Linked DNA regions of Saccharomyces cerevisiae S288C. Changing the gene in region 1 together with any one later gene gives a genetic interaction. Each region holds a gene or a part of one and is shown on either strand. Other genes may lie near its edges.

The links.
Region 2: mutations in TDA11 (region 1) and IRC19 together harm fitness more than expected from each alone (negative genetic interaction), as found in Saccharomyces cerevisiae (one large-scale study listed by BioGRID).
Region 3: mutations in TDA11 (region 1) and HSP10 together harm fitness more than expected from each alone (negative genetic interaction), as found in Saccharomyces cerevisiae (one large-scale study listed by BioGRID).

The regions. Positions count from the first base shown.
Region 1 is NC_001140.6:413,728-422,896, reverse strand, and holds TDA11 (Tda11p), read right to left. Parts: upstream 5,349-9,169; coding exon 3,834-5,348; downstream 1-3,833. Other genes in the region: YAP1801 (Yap1801p), read left to right, coding at 611-2,524; PEX18 (Pex18p), read left to right, coding at 2,825-3,676; KEL1 (Kel1p), read left to right, coding at 5,718-9,169.
Region 2 is NC_001144.5:68,801-74,601, forward strand, and holds IRC19 (Irc19p), read left to right. Parts: upstream 1-4,608; coding exon 4,609-5,301; downstream 5,302-5,801. Other genes in the region: GRC3 (polynucleotide 5'-hydroxyl-kinase), read left to right, coding at 1-1,678; putative AAA family ATPase RIX7, read right to left, coding at 1,833-4,346; YLL032C (uncharacterized protein), read right to left, coding at 5,470-5,801. UniProt on the Saccharomyces cerevisiae protein: Involved in sporulation and maintenance of the mitochondrial DNA. Is probably involved in a pathway contributing to genomic integrity.
Region 3 is NC_001147.6:370,024-375,037, forward strand, and holds HSP10 (Hsp10p), read right to left. Parts: upstream 822-5,014; coding exon 501-821; downstream 1-500. Other genes in the region: YOR019W (uncharacterized protein), read left to right, coding at 1-296; MCO10 (Mco10p), read left to right, coding at 1,662-1,934; protein-arginine N-methyltransferase SFM1, read right to left, coding at 2,775-3,416; DDL1 (putative carboxylic ester hydrolase), read right to left, coding at 3,687-5,014. UniProt on the Saccharomyces cerevisiae protein: Eukaryotic CPN10 homolog which is essential for mitochondrial protein biogenesis, together with CPN60. Binds to CPN60 in the presence of Mg-ATP and suppresses the ATPase activity of the latter.

The DNA of each region.
Region 1 (9,169 bases):
TTACTGTTTTCCTCGAGGAAAAACCTTTGTGCTTCTTTTCTCTCGGACTTTTTCTTCTTTCTTATTATATACTCAACGCTTTTCTTTTTCTTCTTTTTTTTTCCATCCTAGTCATGCGCGCAATAGGAAAGCGCACGAAACAAATGAGTAATTCGTAGGAAACAATGCAGCCCCCAGGGTCAGCAACTGACGTGACTCAGCCTGGCTTTTGTAGAAAAAGATGACGCCCTGGCAGAGAGGTGGGGGAATTGAGGGGTCCTCGCTACCCACCTTAAGTATGGAAGAATATGATGAAGAATATGATGATAACTCTTGGAAGCGAGCGGCGGGTTCCATCACTTTTTACGGATTGGTAACACAGGGGCCTCAGTTCGATACTTGGTATTCAGGCTTCCAGCGTTGGTGAGTTTAGTTAGCGGTATGGTATGCACATGGTGTTGATGCTTGGTGGTAATCATTCGTTAGGTGAATTGAGCAGTAGCGATATTAGATATATTTAGTATTTTATAGCGTCTTTTTGGTGGGGGAGGAAGGACAAAACCTGTCTCGTAAATATAAAGGGACTGTTCGATATCGCAGATACTAGAGTATAAATTTCGATTGAGGCGAGATGACAACATATTTCAAGTTGGTAAAAGGTGCTACCAAGATCAAGTCAGCCCCGCCCAAACAGAAGTATCTGGATCCGATACTGTTGGGGACCAGCAATGAAGAGGATTTCTATGAGATCGTGAAGGGTTTGGATTCCCGAATTAATGACACGGCGTGGACTATTGTGTATAAATCGCTGTTGGTGGTTCATTTGATGATAAGGGAGGGTTCCAAAGATGTTGCATTGCGGTACTACTCTAGGAACCTGGAGTTTTTTGACATTGAAAACATACGTGGCTCCAATGGCAGTGCGTCTGGAGACATGAGGGCACTTGATAGATACGATAATTATCTGAAGGTGAGATGCAGGGAGTTTGGTAAAATCAAAAAGGACTATGTGAGAGACGGCTATCGAACACTGAAGCTGAACAGTGGCAATTACGGAAGCTCCAGAAACAAGCAACACTCTATCAATATAGCACTAGATCATGTGGAGTCCCTAGAGGTACAAATACAAGCCCTGATTAAAAACAAGTATACACAATATGATTTGAGTAACGAATTGATCATATTTGGTTTCAAGCTGCTTATTCAAGACCTGCTAGCGCTATATAATGCTCTCAACGAAGGTATCATAACTCTGCTGGAGTCTTTTTTCGAACTATCTCATCATAATGCAGAGAGAACTCTAGACCTGTACAAGACGTTTGTTGATTTGACCGAGCACGTTGTCAGGTACTTGAAGAGCGGGAAGACTGCGGGCTTGAAAATACCCGTCATCAAGCATATCACTACCAAACTGGTCAGATCGCTAGAAGAACATCTGATAGAGGATGATAAGACGCACAACACTTTTGTGCCCGTTGACAGTTCTCAAGGAAGTGCTGGGGCCGTAGTAGCCAAATCTACTGCACAGGAAAGGTTGGAGCAAATCCGGGAACAAAAAAGGATACTAGAGGCACAATTGAAAAACGAACAAGTAGCGATTTCCCCTGCTCTAACTACTGTCACGGCGGCTCAATCTTACAACCCGTTTGGAACAGACTCTTCTATGCATACTAACATTCCAATGGCTGTGGCTAATCAAACGCAACAGATCGCAAATAACCCATTTGTATCTCAAACTCAGCCACAGGTGATGAATACACCAACCGCTCATACAGAGCCCGCAAATTTAAACGTTCCTGAATATGCAGCGGTCCAACACACAGTGAACTTCAACCCTGTACAAGATGCTGGCGTAAGTGCCCAACAAACGGGGTACTATTCGATTAACAACCATTTAACACCCACATTTACAGGTGCAGGGTTTGGAGGATACTCCGTTTCACAGGATACAACTGCCGCTTCTAATCAACAAGTCTCTCATTCACAAACTGGTTCTAACAACCCGTTCGCATTGCACAACGCCGCGACGATCGCAACAGGGAATCCTGCACACGAAAATGTCTTAAATAACCCATTTTCACGACCAAACTTTGATGAACAAAATACCAATATGCCGCTACAACAACAGATAATAAGTAACCCTTTTCAAAACCAAACGTACAATCAACAACAATTTCAACAACAAAAAATGCCTTTGAGCTCGATCAATAGCGTTATGACAACCCCTACTAGCATGCAGGGATCGATGAATATTCCTCAGCGTTTTGATAAAATGGAATTTCAGGCTCACTACACTCAGAATCATCTCCAACAACAGCAACAACAGCAACAGCAACAACAGCAACAGCAACAACAGCAACCACAACAGGGTTATTATGTGCCTGCAACTGCAGGAGCCAACCCTGTTACAAATATAACTGGGACAGTTCAACCTCAAAATTTCCCTTTCTATCCACAACAGCAACCACAACCGGAACAGTCTCAAACACAGCAACCAGTTTTAGGAAACCAATATGCTAACAACCTCAATTTAATTGATATGTAATATCTAGTATAATCAGGTATGTAAGGGAGTACTCAAGTGCATCTTTGGATAGCTATATATAGTTGTAAGGAAGAGCTATGTAATTTTTGCCATTTTGTACATATTTTGCATTTGTCCTATAGTATGTAATACTTACATCTTACTGTCTTCAATTCCTCCCGCCAACAAAAGATTTCGATAGCGCCGCACCATGGAGTTTATATTGTTATTTCCGAGACGACCTATATAAGGGAAAAGACGAAAACTGGGTATTTGATACTTGTCTAAACTTCAATGGACAAATGATATAAAATACAAACAATGAATAGTAACCGATGCCAAACGAATGAGGTGAATAAATTTATTAGTAGTACAGAAAAGGGGCCTTTTACGGGCAGGGACAATACGCTCTCTTTTAACAAAATCGGGAGCAGACTGAATTCACCACCGATTCTGAAGGATAAAATTGAGCTGAAATTTCTACAACACTCAGAAGATTTGAATCAATCACGGTCCTACGTAAATATTCGTCCTAGAACCTTAGAGGATCAAAGTTACAAATTTGAAGCGCCAAATCTAAATGACAATGAAACTTCTTGGGCCAAGGATTTTAGATATAACTTCCCTAAGAATGTTGAACCGCCCATCGAAAATCAAATCGCGAATCTTAATATAAACAACGGGCTACGGACATCTCAGACAGATTTTCCCTTAGGCTTTTATTCACAGAAAAACTTTAACATTGCTTCCTTCCCTGTGGTTGACCATCAGATATTCAAGACAACAGGTTTAGAACATCCTATCAACAGCCACATTGATTCTTTAATTAATGCTGAATTTTCGGAACTGGAAGCCAGTAGTTTGGAAGAAGATGTCCATACAGAAGAGGAAAATTCAGGTACGAGTCTGGAAGATGAAGAAACTGCCATGAAAGGTTTGGCTTCCGATATAATTGAGTTTTGCGATAATAATAGTGCCAATAAAGATGTAAAAGAAAGACTAAACAGTTCAAAGTTTATGGGGCTGATGGGCAGCATTAGTGATGGTTCTATAGTTTTAAAGAAGGATAACGGTACAGAAAGAAACCTTCAAAAACACGTAGGTTTTTGTTTTCAGAATTCAGGAAACTGGGCTGGTCTTGAGTTCCATGATGTTGAAGACAGAATTGCTTAACGGGCCTTGAAATTTCTTTAATTTAAACCATGAATTTCAGATATATAACACTTTTTAACCACTTTCAAGAGAAAACAGTATTAAATTACATACTGCGTTCACAGCTATACGTAAAAAGAGTGACAAGTGAAGAATAAACGTCATTTTGAAAAAGGAATTAGAAGTCTGTCATTTCAACTGAGTTTTTGACGGAGGAATTATCATTATCGGGTTCTCCAATAAAACTTAGCTTGTTACTACTTCTTTTACTTTTTTTTTCTCGTGTTCGATGTCCACTTTCATCTGTGAGACTATTATTCCCAGCATTGTCTTTCTGGAACTTAGTTGTCGTTTTAAATTTCCTCATGTTTAAACTAGAATCGTCGCCACTATCTTCTGCTTGCCCCCGGTTCGTAATTTTATGTGTACTTTTTTTCTGTTCATGCTGTCTATCGCTTTTATATACAGGATCACATCTGTTATCAGTAATAACATCATTATCGTTTTCTTCTTCTATACCGAGTAATCCGGCCTTGACATCGCTAACAAAGCTCCAAAGCGACCTGGAGACTGATCCTTGCGAAGGAGATTTTTGGCGAGCTCCAGGTGCTTCATTATCGTACTGTTGCGCGGACGACTCGCTATTACTAGTCGGTGTCCCTTCCTGTACCTCAGGCGTACCTGAAAGAGAGTCATCCCAATTCAGAGTTCTTTCAATTTCATGCTGAATGATTTTATCAAACTGATTAAACAGAGCTAATGGTTTGCTCCAAAGTGACTGTTTGGATGAATCTGACGAGTCGTCCCTTTGGCGCCTTTCTTGAATATCTTGCGGAGACACAGATCTTGACTGATTAGTACTTTGATGACCCATGTTCTTTGGTTTACTGACAGAACTAGGAAGGCTGCTGTTACCAGCATTTTCAGTTCGTGATTCCAAAGGTATATTCTGGTAAACCGGTGAAAAAGCCCGGTTTTTAACAGGTGTATTTAGAGAGGGATCCAAATGTTTACTCACTTGCTCCTTGAGTTCATGCAGTTCACGTGCCCGACGAGTATAGTTTTGCTCTTCATGCTGGGTTTGCTTTTTCAAATCTTCAATCTTTTGTTTGCATTCCAGAAGTTCTAACTCTTTTGTAGCGAGAGATTGTAGAAGCGCACTTACATCGACCCCATTTGTTGGTATGGTGGTCGCTATCATACTATTAACCGACTGCGAACTCCCATTTCTAGACCGTCGAAGTCCGCTGGCCATCGCTTGCTCACTAGAAAGTACAGTGGTTGACTCTAATGGGATTCCATAGGATCCCTCAGAATGACTTACTGAAGGTAAGTTGTTTTGAGATTCTGGTGTAGTGGGAACAACCATGGGTTGAATAAGTGATCTTCTCTTGCTCATTGCATTTGGAACTGAGACAGAAGAATGACGAGTTACCACCCTCCTAGCATCTGGCTTGGCTTGTAAGGGATGGTCCTGGTCATTTAATCTGGTAGGCGTCATTAGTCTTTGCGAATGCATGCTTCCCGCACTGGACGTACGATGGTGTTCTAGCCTATATCCATTGGAACTAGCAGAACGAATCTTTCGTCCAGTTTTCCTCACAGGTGACATCGAAATTATACTATTTCGGGTACTGGTGTCCACATCCAAATCCTTCTCATTAGACTCTATAAACTCGTCAAATTTATTCATATCAGTGCCCTAGGAGATAGATTTAATTATCCTCGGATCCATGTAGTGGTAATTGAGAAAAGCACAGTTAGTATTGGCCTTTTTCCTTACCTATTATATTGAACTTTACAACTTGTACCCTTCATCACCTTTGGAATCACGCGGCACGTCTTCTGGGGACTTGGCGACGCGGTTGTTGATAGTAAACTACAAGCAAGCATTCCTTTAAAATACGAAACAATAAGATATAGAAAAGCAACAGGGCTCGTTCTATAAAGTAATTGTTTTGCTTGATTTGTGATACTTACACTTATTAACAAATTCACAGTAATTTTTCAGGAAAAGTTAGAGCCCGTTTGCTTCAATTTGCACCTAGAAAATAACTCAAACATGGCTGGATTCAGCTTCGCCAAGAAATTCACTCACAAGAAACATGGAAAGACGCCTTCTGATGCTTCTATCTCTGACCAATCTAGAGAAGCTTCACTGTCAACTCCTCCAAATGAAAAATTTTTCACAAAACAAGAAACGCCTCAGAAAGGGCGTCAATTTTCACAAGGTTACCATTCTAATGTTAATAAAACTAGTTCACCACCTATGTTTGCCAGAAAACAGGTATCCGAATCAAGGATTCAACCGAGCGCAGTACCACCGCAACAGCGAAATGTCTCAGGACCGTCCACTACTCTCCATAAGCAGCTTTCAAAACAGAGAGAATATACCGTATGGAATAGAATCAAGTTACAGAATTCTCCTTTTCCACGTTATAGACATGTTGCTTCAGCATATGTTACAGACAAGAACCAGATATATGTTATTGGGGGACTTCATGACCAATCTGTGTACGGCGATACATGGATATTAACGGCCTTCGATAATGCCACCAGATTTTCCACTACAACGATAGACATAAGTGAAGCTACACCACCACCAAGGGTAGGCCACGCTGCTGTATTATGCGGGAATGCCTTTGTTGTATTTGGCGGTGACACACACAAAGTCAATAAGGAAGGTTTGATGGACGATGACATATACCTTTTGAATATTAATTCCTATAAATGGACAGTCCCGGCACCCGTGGGACCACGTCCATTGGGAAGGTACGGTCATAAAATTTCGATTATCGCCACAACTCAAATGAAAACAAAACTGTACGTGTTTGGTGGTCAATTTGATGACACCTACTTCAACGACTTGGCTGTTTACGACTTATCTTCTTTTAGAAGACCGGACTCTCATTGGGAATTTTTGAAACCAAGGACCTTTACACCACCACCTATTACCAATTTTACTATGATATCATACGATTCTAAACTATGGGTATTTGGTGGCGATACCTTACAAGGTTTAGTAAATGATGTGTTTATGTACGACCCTGCAATAAATGATTGGTTTATCATTGATACCACGGGTGAAAAGCCTCCTCCAGTTCAAGAACATGCTACTGTAGTCTACAACGATCTGATGTGTGTTGTAGGCGGGAAAGATGAGCATGATGCTTATTTGAACTCCGTGTATTTCCTAAACTTGAAATCGCGTAAATGGTTTAAATTACCTGTATTTACGGCTGGAATTCCGCAAGGCCGTTCTGGGCATTCTTTAACATTATTAAAAAATGATAAAATTTTGATTATGGGAGGAGATAAATTTGATTACGCTAGAGTCGAGGAGTACGACTTGCATACCTCTGATATTGATATGCAAAGAGGTACAATTGTTTATACGCTAGACTTGGCCCGCATAAAGGACCTTTGTCCAGGCGTAATGGATGTTCCAACTGATACGCCAACTCCGAGAAATGGTAATCTTGACCTGGCGACGCCCGTTACCCCAACCTCTCATCAAACTAAAAATATGAACGTACCAATTTCAGCAGCTCCTCTAGCTTCCGCTCCATCACCTGCACCAAAAGATTTTTCAGATGCTGATCGCCTCAACAGGGAGGTACACAATCGAAATGTGTCAACAGAACACCAAAATCAGAGCCACCCAGTAAATTCTGAATCTCACTTGATTGCTGAGCCTAACATTTTGACTCCATATGTTCCATCTGAAAGCTCACAAACGCCGGTTATGAAAATAACTTCCAACAAACCATTTGATACGCCTACTATCCAGAAAGAACCTGATCTTTCTGAAACTATGGATCCAACAGTTGGAAATCAGCGCATCCCATCTTCAATCTATGGAGATAATCTCACCCCTGCAAACCAAATAAAGAATAACTCCCCAATATTAGAGACGCTTCCAAGTAATGAGATAAAAACGCCCCAAAATGGTAATATAGAGGAAATAAAACATCTTCCTGACGCTGATGAAAAAATAGATTCCACGACGACCTTCGACCAAGAGATAAACGGGGACAAACTAGGCACATCTTCGATGTCCAAGGTTGAAGAGGACGGCAATGTTGCTGACGAAGACGACGAAATCGGTGTGGCTCAAATGGCGAGCTCCCCATCCAAAGATCAGTTCAAAATAAAGCATTATAATGAATCTTCAGAATTATCACAGAATAATACGGAGATCGACAAACTGTCCGAGCCTGTGGATATTACAATAAAGAAAAGCGACACCGCGGGCCATGATAGTGCTAACCATGTTATTGATGCAAGTGATGAAAAAAACGTGTCCCCAATGGGAGACGTTCCAACTGATACGAAAAATGAAGAAGCTAGCGTTCCTATAAATAGAGATGCTACTACCGAAGTCGTAGATAGGGCACTATTTGAGAAATTAAGATCGGAATTGCAAAGTTTGAAAGAATTGACGCACGAAAAGGCGCTTGAAGCCGGAGCTCACATAAAGGAATTAGAGACGGAGCTATGGCAGTTAAAATCCCAGAAGAATTCTGGGACAACGAAAGAAATAGATGAATTGGATTCCGTCAGACTGCAATCAAAATGTGAAATACTAGAGGCAGATAATCATTCCTTGGAAGATAAAGTTAATGAGCTAGAAGAGTTGGTGAATAGCAAATTCTTAGACATAGAGAATCTAAATGAAGTTATACAATTTCAGAACGAAAAAATTAAATCCTTAGAACTAGAGCCTAATTACAAAGAAAAACTTGAAGAACTACAGATAGAACATGAGAATTTGAGTAGAGAAAATGAAAGGTTGAAAAATGAAAGCAAACAACATAACGAAGATATAATCAATAATGTTGCGAATTACTCGTCACAGTTAGGCTCATTGATCAGTCATTGGAAAGAAAACAGAGCCAACTCTTCGTTTCTTGAATCTTCTTCTTCTTTGATATCTGTATCGGATGAAAATGGCGAGAAAACTGTCGGTGAACCCTATGGTGATCAAAGTCGTCACCACCGTGTAGTGATTAACAAACTAACGAATAGATTGGACGATTTGCTGGAGAGAAGTCAAGAGCTAACAATATCTAAAGAAAAACTATCTTCTGAATACCATGCTTTAAAGATGGAACACAGCTCATTAAGTCAAGATGTATTAGTAAAAGAGAATGAAATCAAAAAAATACAGAATGATTACAAAGAAAGTATCAGTTCTATGGACAGTGCAAGTAAGGCACTAATGGTTTCACAAAGAGAGCTAGAGAAGTACAAGAGTTTGAATAAAAAGTTAATCGACGAGTTAGATGAATTGAAGTTCAAAAATGGCGTCTGCAGTGAAAATTTCGAAAATGGTCTCAGAAGCACCGAGGAGAGTTCCAATAATGTAAAAAATAGCAACAGCATAAGAGAAAATCAATTCAACATCAAAATAAATGATCTGAAAGCGGAACTCTTCATCACTAATCAAGAAAGAGATGACTTGAAAAGTGAAGTGTTAGAGTTGAAAAAGAGATTATTGAATTTGGAAAATAA
Region 2 (5,801 bases), on another chromosome or scaffold:
TGAAGATGAAACTATGTTTGTGGGGTTGAAAGAAAAACAGAAGTTACATTTATCTGGTGTTTTCCGGCTGCAAGTGGTGAAAGGAGGTATTGTCTACAACAATGTACACTATAACGCTTCGAGAGAAATTTTAACCTTCTGGCACCCGTTATCACAGTCCATACCTACTATAGATTTTTCGCACTTTGCAGGCTGGCAAGACACTTTTTTTATGCCGAGAAACAACAGGTTTAAAATTAGAGATGAAGAATTCAAATCATTTCCATGTGTTCTTCGCGTTTTTAATTCTAATCATACGGGCTTGTTAGAAGCAGGTCATTTATATCGGGATGTTAATTATCTATGGAAACCTAAAGAACCTTACTTTCCATTAAACGAGAGAACAACGTATCATTTATTACATGAGTCAGACCGAATTCAATCTTTATCCGTGCCGGGATATTGGTCAACTCCGTTAGAGAAGTTATATTTGAGTCACAAGAACGCTGCGTATGATACAAGAATCATGGTGATTGGTGGTAAAAACTCTGGGAAGTCTACATTCTTGAGGCTTTTATTGGAAAAATTTACGCAAGATATACGAGATTCTACTACGAGCCAGGAAGAATTGGTATACCTGGATTTAGATCCTGGTCAACCTGAATACTCACTACCTGATTCAATATCCCTGAATAAGATTCTTTCCAGCCCTATTTCTCTCGGACAACATCTCTGCCAAGGTTCAAATTTCCAAACTTTGTTACAGTTCTACGCTGGCTCCTCTTCCCCGCAGGACGAGCCCACATCATACCTGAACTGCGCTGATAAACTTATAGACCATTTGGAAGAGCAAGCCTTCTTCGGAACGTCATTGCTTAATCTACCTGGGTGGATAAAAGGATTCGGGATGCAGATTTTAAATCATATAATAAGGAAATATAAGCCCACTCACTTATTGTTTTTGGAAACAGCTAATTCGAAAAGACACCTGGATGAACTAACAATTCCACAGAGTTTTTCCACATCACTACGAGATGCATATGCACCTGAAGTTGTTCGCGTTCCAGCCCATAGTCTGAACCACACCTTATCTTCTAGGTTCCATGCATCACAACTGAGAACATTCAAAATACTGGCACTGTTTCATAAAATAACTCAATTTGATTATGATTTTGCGCCTCTTTTAAAATCTGCACCTTTGCAAATTTCATATGGCAAAGGTAAAAGCGGTATTAAAGGCATTCAATTTCCTATGGAATTCCAGGATCTGAATCCTCAAGATATCAAGTCCGCATTGGAAGGTACTGTCATTGGGATATATACATATTCTGGAGAAGACTCACTAGAGGTGAAATCCTTGAATACCTTTCCCATCCTACAATCGTGTACTTCTTCTTCTAAAAATTTCATAACTCTGGGGCTGATACACTCTATTGACACCTCCCAGCAAATAATGAACATTTACGTGCCACCTTGCCATACCCAGATTTTAGATAAACAACCTGAGGATGCTCAATGGATAATAGTAAGAAATAAGACGGAAACTCCTTTTTGTGACTTTCTTCCATCCCCCCGCACAATTACATGGGATGATAATATACAAATACCGTTCGCAACTTTTGAAAGAAGGAAAAAATTGGAACATGTGTGGAAAGTTCGTAAGAACGTCATGAGACGTGGCCAATTCATGAAAAGATAGAAAGAAAAGGTAATCGTACATTTTTTAATAGTGAAAGATAGAGGATACACAAAAATCATGCAAAGTTTTATATATTTGTTATGTATACTCATATTCCTTCAATATCTAAGTCATACTAACTTCTAGGGACTTTACCAAAATATTATTTATAAATTTATTGTTTCATTTCTTCCGCATCCTTCATCTCCTCCGTTAAACCCATTTTCTTATTTAATCTATCATATTTCAGTCTATCTTTATCGCTCACAGAGGGTTTAATCTTTCTTAATGCACTTCGGAAGTCAGACATGGTCACAATAATTTCTTCGCCAGATACGCCAACCGATAGATCCTCAAATTCCTTGTCTAAGTCATTATCAAGAACAGATTGTATTTCTTCGCTCTGAAAAAACTTCCTTTTTAGAGCCAAGACTGAACTCTCCCTGACTAAAGCAGCCAAGTCAGCGCCTGAAAAATTGTTGCACTTCTCATTTCTGATAATTTCTTCAAAATCAACATCGCTACTCAGAGGTGTTCCGTGTGATTTGGTCAAAGTTTTGATAATATCTAGTTTTTCCTCAGTATTAGGTAACTCAATAAACAAACTCTTATCCAATCTGCCCGGTCTTAACATAGCAGGATCAATCATATCAGGTCTATTAGTGGCGCCAATCACAAAAATTCCCCTTCTATCGTTCAGCCCATCTAATTCCGTTAACAAAGTGTTGACGACTCTTGAGGAGGATTCGGACAAAGAAGTATCTCTTCTTGGCACCAAAGCGTCCAGTTCATCAAAAAATATAACACACGGTACAGACGCCCTTGCTCTAGTAAAAACTTGTCTGATGGACCTTTCTGATTCACCAACGTATTTATTTAATAATTCAGGACCTTTGATTGATATGAAATTTGCACGAGATTCATTGGCAACAGCTTTTGCTAGTAACGTTTTACCACAACCTGGTGGTCCCCACAATAAAACACCACCAGGGGCGCTAATTCCCACTTTTTCATAAAGCTCTGGTCTCTTGATGGGTTGCACAATAGCCATATTTAATTCAAGTCTAACTCTTTGCAATGCGCCTACATTAGCCCAAGTAACATCAGGTACCGTAGCGAACCCTTCTCTCTTTGCTGTTGGTTGAATTGTTGGCAACGCTTTCAAAAAATCTTCGTACTTAATCGATAATAATGATAACTGCTCTCCTGATAAAGGCTCAGGATAATTACGAATAAATTGTTGGACTACGGATAAAGGCAACGGATCGATCATATTCGCAGTGTTCTTCAGGCTAGATTCATCTCCGTTTGCTGTTTCATCAATTTCCATGTTATCTTCTGAACTGTCCGTTGCCGTAGTTGGTGTGGATTTTATATTAGCATAGGTTTGGAAAATTCTTTTAATAGCGCATGTACCGGCAGCAGTAACTAAAGCCTTTAAATCAGCGCCAACAAAGCCTGGGGTTAATTTTGCCAATTTGGCAAAATCGATAGCACCATCAATTTTTAGGTTATCAGACATTTTCTTTAAAATATGTAACCTTGAGACTTCATTCGGGACATTCAGGCATATTTCTCTATCGAATCTACCTGCTCTTCTCAATGCTGCATCCAAAGAGTCAGGTCTATTCGTGGCACCTATGATAATAACAGGTTTTCCATTTGTCTTTTCCATCGTTAATTCATCCATTGAGGTCAATAATTGGGCAACTATTCTTCTCTCCATTTCTCTTTGGGCTCCTCCATCACGTTTTGGTGTAATGGCATCTATTTCATCAAAGAAAACAAGACATGGTGCCAAGCTTCTCGCTTCATCAAACAAATCCCTAATCTTTTTCTCGCTTTCCCCAGACATACCACTTACGACTGAAGGTGCAGAAATAGATATAAATGGGACTTGTAATTCTCCAGCTAACGCATTAGCAATCGACGTCTTACCGCAACCCGGTGGGCCATGCAACAGAACACCTCTAGGTGGTTCGACACCCGTGGATAAAAATATCTCTGGATGAAGAATGGGTAGACCTATTAGTTCCATAAGTTGTGCAACGACATCATCCATACCACCTAAGGATTTCAGAGACGAATTAGGTGGAGATCTATCTTCCTTGATTTTTTGACGTTTTACCTTACATGTACCTTCTTTGGATCTTTTTTTAGATTTTTTAACCTCTTCTGTCTTAGGATCATCAGTTTCTGTTATAGACTCGGAAACAGATCCAGATTTGGACCACGTGCTAGTTATGCGTTTGTTCATCTCATTTGTGTCTCGCTCAATCATCATATTTTTCTTAGCTAGTTCTTCTTCCAAGCTTGGTTTCTCTTCCTCTTCGTTGTTGTAACCTGGGTAAGAACCAAATTCTTCCAATTCTGATTCAATCACGTCTTTTAGCATGCGGTCAATTGTCTTTTGTAAGACAACTTTCTTAACTCTTTGAAGTGATAAATCTTTAGTCAAACAAAAGGTAAAAATCTCACCTGCTGTTAAATCTTTAGCGAAAAACATGGATTCAAATATATCCTCATCTTCTTCACCCTCGTTGTTCTCGCCCTCTTCTCCTTGGGATTCTTGTCTCAGAGACCTTTTTCTGTCCAAAGTTTTTTCTTCCAAGAGACGATAGATAAGATCGACGATCTTGTTATCTAGAGAACTTGTTAATGAGTTCTTTTTCGACTTTACTTTAACCATTATTCCAGCCTTCCCACCACGTAGCTATTATCGGCCCTAATGATCTTTTATTCTAACTGACTCGCAGATTAATTCACACATCGGTTGTTAATCATTGTTTGAATTTCCAAAATATGCGATGAGCTGAATGAAAAATTTTGGAACCTGTCACTATCGACGAACATCGAAGTTTGCCATGACAACCATATATGAAGAAAGCTTATGAGACTAGCTCGAGTATATCATACGTATGCATGTTAATCGCAGTTAAGCGGATAACACAATGCGTAAGCCTTCTATTACGATAACAACAGCAAAAGCTATTATAACTCCAGACTATACTCTTATTAAATCGCATTCTAAATACCAACTTCCTTCACGTTTTCAAAAGCTAGATGCAGACTCACCTGAGAGAAGTACAGTTGTTAAGCTATTTTACCGCCGATTTATGAGGCTTAAGCCTTTCATATCGAATGTGAAAATGGTTAAAGATACTTACAGGGATTATGTTCGATATAAGTTTATGAAAGAAAACTACGAACTCAAACGATACTTGGTATTCAATCCTGATGGCTTGAGGTCGAAAATCAATCTTGAGCTTCTCAGCAACACGAAATGTTGTGAAAGGATACTCCCCGTGACTGAGATGCAAAGAACCTTGGAATTTGTTCTGAAGAGCTGTTCATACTTGCCCGAAACAAAAGTTCAAAAGTGGGATATTGCAAGGGACAACACATATTGCAGGCAAATTTTAAAGAACCTTTTAACAATGCAATATGAAAAGTACAGATCGATTTTGCATAGAGGAATAGGCCATGATGAGCTTGACGTCAAATTCTCTCATTTGAAAACTACTTCTAGTCCGCTAACTAAGCTAAATAAAACCGAAAAGAAAAAGATTCCGCTTTTCAAAGTATTTAGTGATTTCGATACAACATTGATATATCTCAATGAGACATTAGGTACAAGGTTATAAAGATCATTATCGTAAAAGAGGAGCGGAGCGGAGCTTTTTAGTATGTATGGTAAAATATCAATCAAATACTGTAATAGATGCGGATATGCGCAATGACATATTTTGTGGTGTGCATATCCATTGAAAAGGTGCGTAGAACGTTACAATACTACTGAACTTTTTTCCTTCTCATTTTCTGCCATTTTGATATTTATGCCTATTATTGGTTTGAGCTTTATTAGAGTTGGCATAATTATAATCGTACTCGTATGTATATCCGTATCCATACCCATATCCGTTGTAATAAGTGTTTGGTATATATCCTTTGATGGCTTGGGCTCCTCCTACCGTCGTTATAACAGGCATTTTGTGGCGTTGTGGTGAGGCTCCTGATTGGCTGGTATTATCGATGGTCGTACGACTTTTGGCATTATTCATTGATCTGAAATTGCCATTGGTATTGCTATTACTGGTGTTACTCTTGCTGGAGGCAGACCCTAGAACAAATTTTTTAATTATTT
Region 3 (5,014 bases), on another chromosome or scaffold:
GCATTCCTTTGAGGAAAGTTAAAAGTGCCGGTGCGTTAAGAAAAGTCAAAACTAATGACTCCTCAAGTAGTGCAGGGTCAAAGAAAAGCTCGTCTAGTTTTAGTACTGTGAACACCTTCACTGGGGGTGGAGTTGGGATTTTTAAGGTGTTTAAAAGTGGAAGTTCCTCTGGAAATAAATCATCCAGTAGAAGGAATAGTAGCAGTGGCGATGTTTTTGAAAGTGATGATCGTAACGACAAGAAAAAGAAGAAGAAAAAAAAGAAGAAATCATTGTTCTTATTCGGCAAAATATGAGCGGATAGTTTGTACACATAGTGTCCCTAAAATTCCTATTGATGAATAGATCAATTTTATTAGCAGACAATTGGGGGCAGCAACTGAATAGCAGAAGAAATTTGAGTTCAATTATTTTTTTTTCCTGTCATACATAATGGCCTATTTACAGGTACATACATATAGAGTATGTATATAAAATCTCTGTTGAAGAAGACATCATTCTTAGTCCTTGGCAATCTTAGCCAGGATTTCAGCGTCCCTGAAAAGAATAACTTCATCGTCGTTACCCAATTTAATGGTAGAACCACCAAACTGTGGAATCAAAACTTGGTCACCAACTTTAACTTGAGGAACAACCTTATTACCATTAGCATCAGTAAAGCCCGGGCCTACGGCAACAACTTCAGCTTGGTTTAACTTCTCCACGTTCTTTTCAGGTAAATACAACCCGGATGCTGTCTTTGCTTGTGCCTTGATTCTTTGGACAAGGACACGGTCCATCAATGGAACGATAGATTTAGCAGACTTCAAAAGGGTGGACATTCTTTTTTTTCTGTAGATTCAATATATTTTCGATCAATGGCTTCTATCAGAAATTATTTTAAACCTAGCACATAATAAGTTTGTACTGTATAAGCGTTTTGACTAATTTTATACATAATCAAGCTTCTTTTTCCCATTCCTTCAAGATTCTAGAAATTTCTATCATTGATGACGGGCATTACCCCGTTAATGACCTTCACACGAATGAGAATTGGGCGGCTAATGAGAGAACTTCGAGAGGTGCAATAAGTGAGAAATAACAACTTTAGAACTCATTATGATTGCTTCCAATACCTAATCCTACGTATGTACTAAATTAAAAAGACAGACATGCATTATTGAATATTGACATTTTGAGAGTAACTTTTTATTATGAGTGGCATAATAAGATAATCGACGCAAGCCACAATTTATACAATAAAAAATGCTACCATCGCTGCTACATATGAACGAAAATAATACAACTATCGTTACGGCCTTTGCTGAACCGTAATAAAATAAAATTCCTTGTTACATTTTTTTAGCCAGCTGCCTCAGAAAGAGGCGTTTACTATTTAATGGAGAAAGAAAGCAAAGAAAAATAAAAGGTATTTTCTTTACGGAAAGCCTTCGAGCAATCCAGGAGAAAGTGGACCTTTTTTTCCCAATGAAGAGATCATAGGAGTATGGATTGAAAATATAATAGAACTTCGGGTAACGAGGTGTAATTTCACAGTCCATAATACAGAGCTAACGGTTTAAGGGTAAATAGTTATCTAAGTCAAGTTTTGAAGGAACAAGTAAGAAAGGTCGCTACTGTTTCTAAACATAAGATATACAAAAATAAATATAGCTATCTCAATGGGTGCTGCATACAAAGTATTTGGGAAGACGGTTCAACCTCACGTATTGGCTATATCTACGTTTATCGCTACTGCTGCAGTGGCATCTTACTTTACCACGAAACCAAAAACCAAAAATGAAGGCAAGAATAGTTCTGCCTTGAGCCAACAAAAAAGCGGTGAAAGTTCAAACTCAGATGCTATGGGAAAGGACGATGATGTCGTAAAGAGTATTGAAGGATTTTTAAATGATTTAGAGAAAGATACGAGGCAGGATACGAAAGCCAACTGATTATGTATAAAAATTTCTGAAATGGTGGTGTTCTTCATCGTTCAGTGAAGGGATGCACTGATTTCTATAAACTTGAAGCACTTTTTGAAACTACTGTTCTATAACGAAAATTAGCGTCCTTCTTTCTATTAAGTATGCATTATACATATAATTCAATATATTCTGAATAGCAAAACGGCAATGAAAAAAAAAAAACACTGAAAATACTTGCCTTAGGCCATTGTGCATGATACGAATATGCACAAAACTTGCCTCTTTTTACTTTACGGATCAATGACAACACTCAGGTGTAAGTGATAGTTGATGGCCTTTCAATATTTGAAAGGCTGGAAGATAATTATAAAAAATCGAACTAATTGCCTATGATTGTTTCATTACTGAGACTATTTTTTCACCTCAAGGGGGTCGTCTGAATTAGCAAAGCCATGGCAACTAGTGCAGTGCTTGAAGTCACCAGCTCGTTTGGTTTTAGATGCAAGTAATGTAAAGAAATTAATTTAAATAAAATAATAAAAGTTTCTACTTTTTTTTTCAATTAAAAAGCATAATACAACCAATCAATTTTATCCTATTTGGCCTGACAATGATGATATCATAAAAGTAAACGGTTCCTTGTTTTTATTTTTCTTGCATGCACTTTTCAGAAGTCTTGGTAGCGCTACTAACGCAAAATACGAAATATTCATTGGCTAATAAACTTGATTTTTTCATTGAATGTCGTTTTTGAACTATATACAATATAATTAATGCTACGACCCTAAACTTTTCAACTAACTCTTTGACAAGGAAGCATCATCACTTATTACAACCATAGAATGTTACTTAAAGGACTGTTCTCATCTACATCAACAGATCGTCCAAACTTTGAGCAGAATCCTTCTTGATCAAATCCAACATCCCTTCAGGCAAAATAGGTTTACCTTCTTTATCTAAAACGTATCTAAATGGCATTTCCGTGGCCTCATTTTTATTGAACCTAAATTCAGGGTAGTCAATGAACTTGATGTCTTCAAATGCAATCCTGTCTTTGATAATCAACTGTGTTGTTCTTATGGCAGTATCCGTAGTCATTTGTTTATCACCTAGTCTTCTGCTAATTAAAAGATTCGGATAGGCAGTCTTTAGTTCTTTGGTACGATCTCTTGGAGGATGATCACCCAATATGCCACCAAATACGAAATAGTCGAATTTCGTAGCATCCTCCGGCTGTAAATCGATTGTAGCCCTAGGGTCCAATAGACAGACTCTGCCATCTTTTAACAGTTCCAAATCCTTGAAATCTTCGTTAATGCCCTTCAAATCCTTTGTAGTCCATCTTAAACCAAGTTTTAGTAGCCTTTGAGGGATGTCCTTTTCCGTGGTACTCTCTGGTAACGATGATAAAATCAAGTTTTCAGCTCCTACTTCTCTCAGGATTTGGCTATACTCTAAAATGACCCATTCACTAAACCCTTCCTCCATATGCTCAATAATGTACTTCATCGTATATCTAGAAATAATCTCCACAGCTGTATCAATCTATATTAACAATAGATATGCCCCTCAACATCTAATAAGCAAAGGGCATTGCTCTTTTACAATACTCGATGAGCTTACCGAAAATTTCTAATCCAAAATAACGGAAAAAATTGAAAAGGTGTCAATCCTGTTACCCGCAAGTTGAAGTACGGAAAGAATACAACCTTACACAGTGGAACTATAATAGACAGTAAAGAAAAAAGTTAAAAAAAACTTGTGCCTTGCGTTTACTGATCAACCAGTCTTTCTTTTTACATATATTTCTGATGCATTTTCATGTTTACTTAAAATTTCTTTTAGGATAAACGCTGCAATATCCGGTTCTTCGAAATAAGAAACATGTGATTTTATAGCTGATATAAAATCCACTTCTAGCAGACTTGGAGACATAGCATAATCTAGACGTCCGGTGTAATTCAAACCTGTAAGCATTCTCGTAAGATTTTCTGATAACTTGACCTCTTTTTTTTCTGGAGAAGTTTTTTTGGACTGCAAATTATTTTCATCAGTACCTGGCAAATCTTTCCATATGTTTTCGCCAAATTCCAAAACTTTAGAAGTTAGTCCATAAGCTTCACTACAATGTGGTAAATAAGTTTGTTCGTAATGAGCCATTTCTTTACTAACAAGAGGTTCCATCCTATAAGAAATGGGATCACAGACGTGGTAAACATTATAAATGTCCTTACATTGCGGTCTCTGTACGGTTAATTTTCTCTCCAAGTCATTGGGAAATTCGGGACGGTCACCAATTTTTGTTCTTTGAATTAACTTTAACAATCCAATTGGTGAGCCAATAAAGAACAGGTTGTCTACTTGAAATTCTAATTCATATTTTTTTTGTTTGGATAGAATATCAAATAATATCATACTACCCAACGAATGGCCCACTAAATGGACTTTCCCATCAAACTCTGGATTAAATTCTTTAAAAATCCGATATGTTTTGTTCAATTGAGAGGTTACTTGTTGTAGAATCATATCTTGGTAGTATGGTTCGACATACAACAAAATATCTAGTAGACCGTCAGCCAGTAGCTTCCTCAAGGGTAACACTCCATTTACTGTGACTTGTGACAAAGTCGGTAGGTCAGGATTTTCTATATTTTCCTCCTTAGCATCCGTTTGGAAACTTATCGAGTGCCTCCAGGTGATGGGTAGCACTTGAACGTTACAGTTGCTTTTATAATCAGGTGCTGTGTTTAATGATTGTAGTTTCTCAGAATTATTGTAGATTTTTTTCATATTAGACCTAAGTAGATTTACCGTGTGTGCGAAATTTACGTATTCGTACTTCTTACCCAAAGTCTGACCTATACCGTGAACGCATAGTATCAAGTTATCCACATCTCTTCTGTTACTTCTAATTTGTCTATCGCTTGCGCCCGAATTTTTGCCATCTTCTATTTTGCTACTAGCATTAGCGCCTTGACTGTTATCTGCATTGTTATAGTCTGTTTCCATTTGCTTTTCCAAGCTCTGTGCATCATCTTGATCTTTACTAGCATTACCATTGAACAACTGTAAAAAGTCCGATAAATTGAAGAGGTTTGAAACTTTCT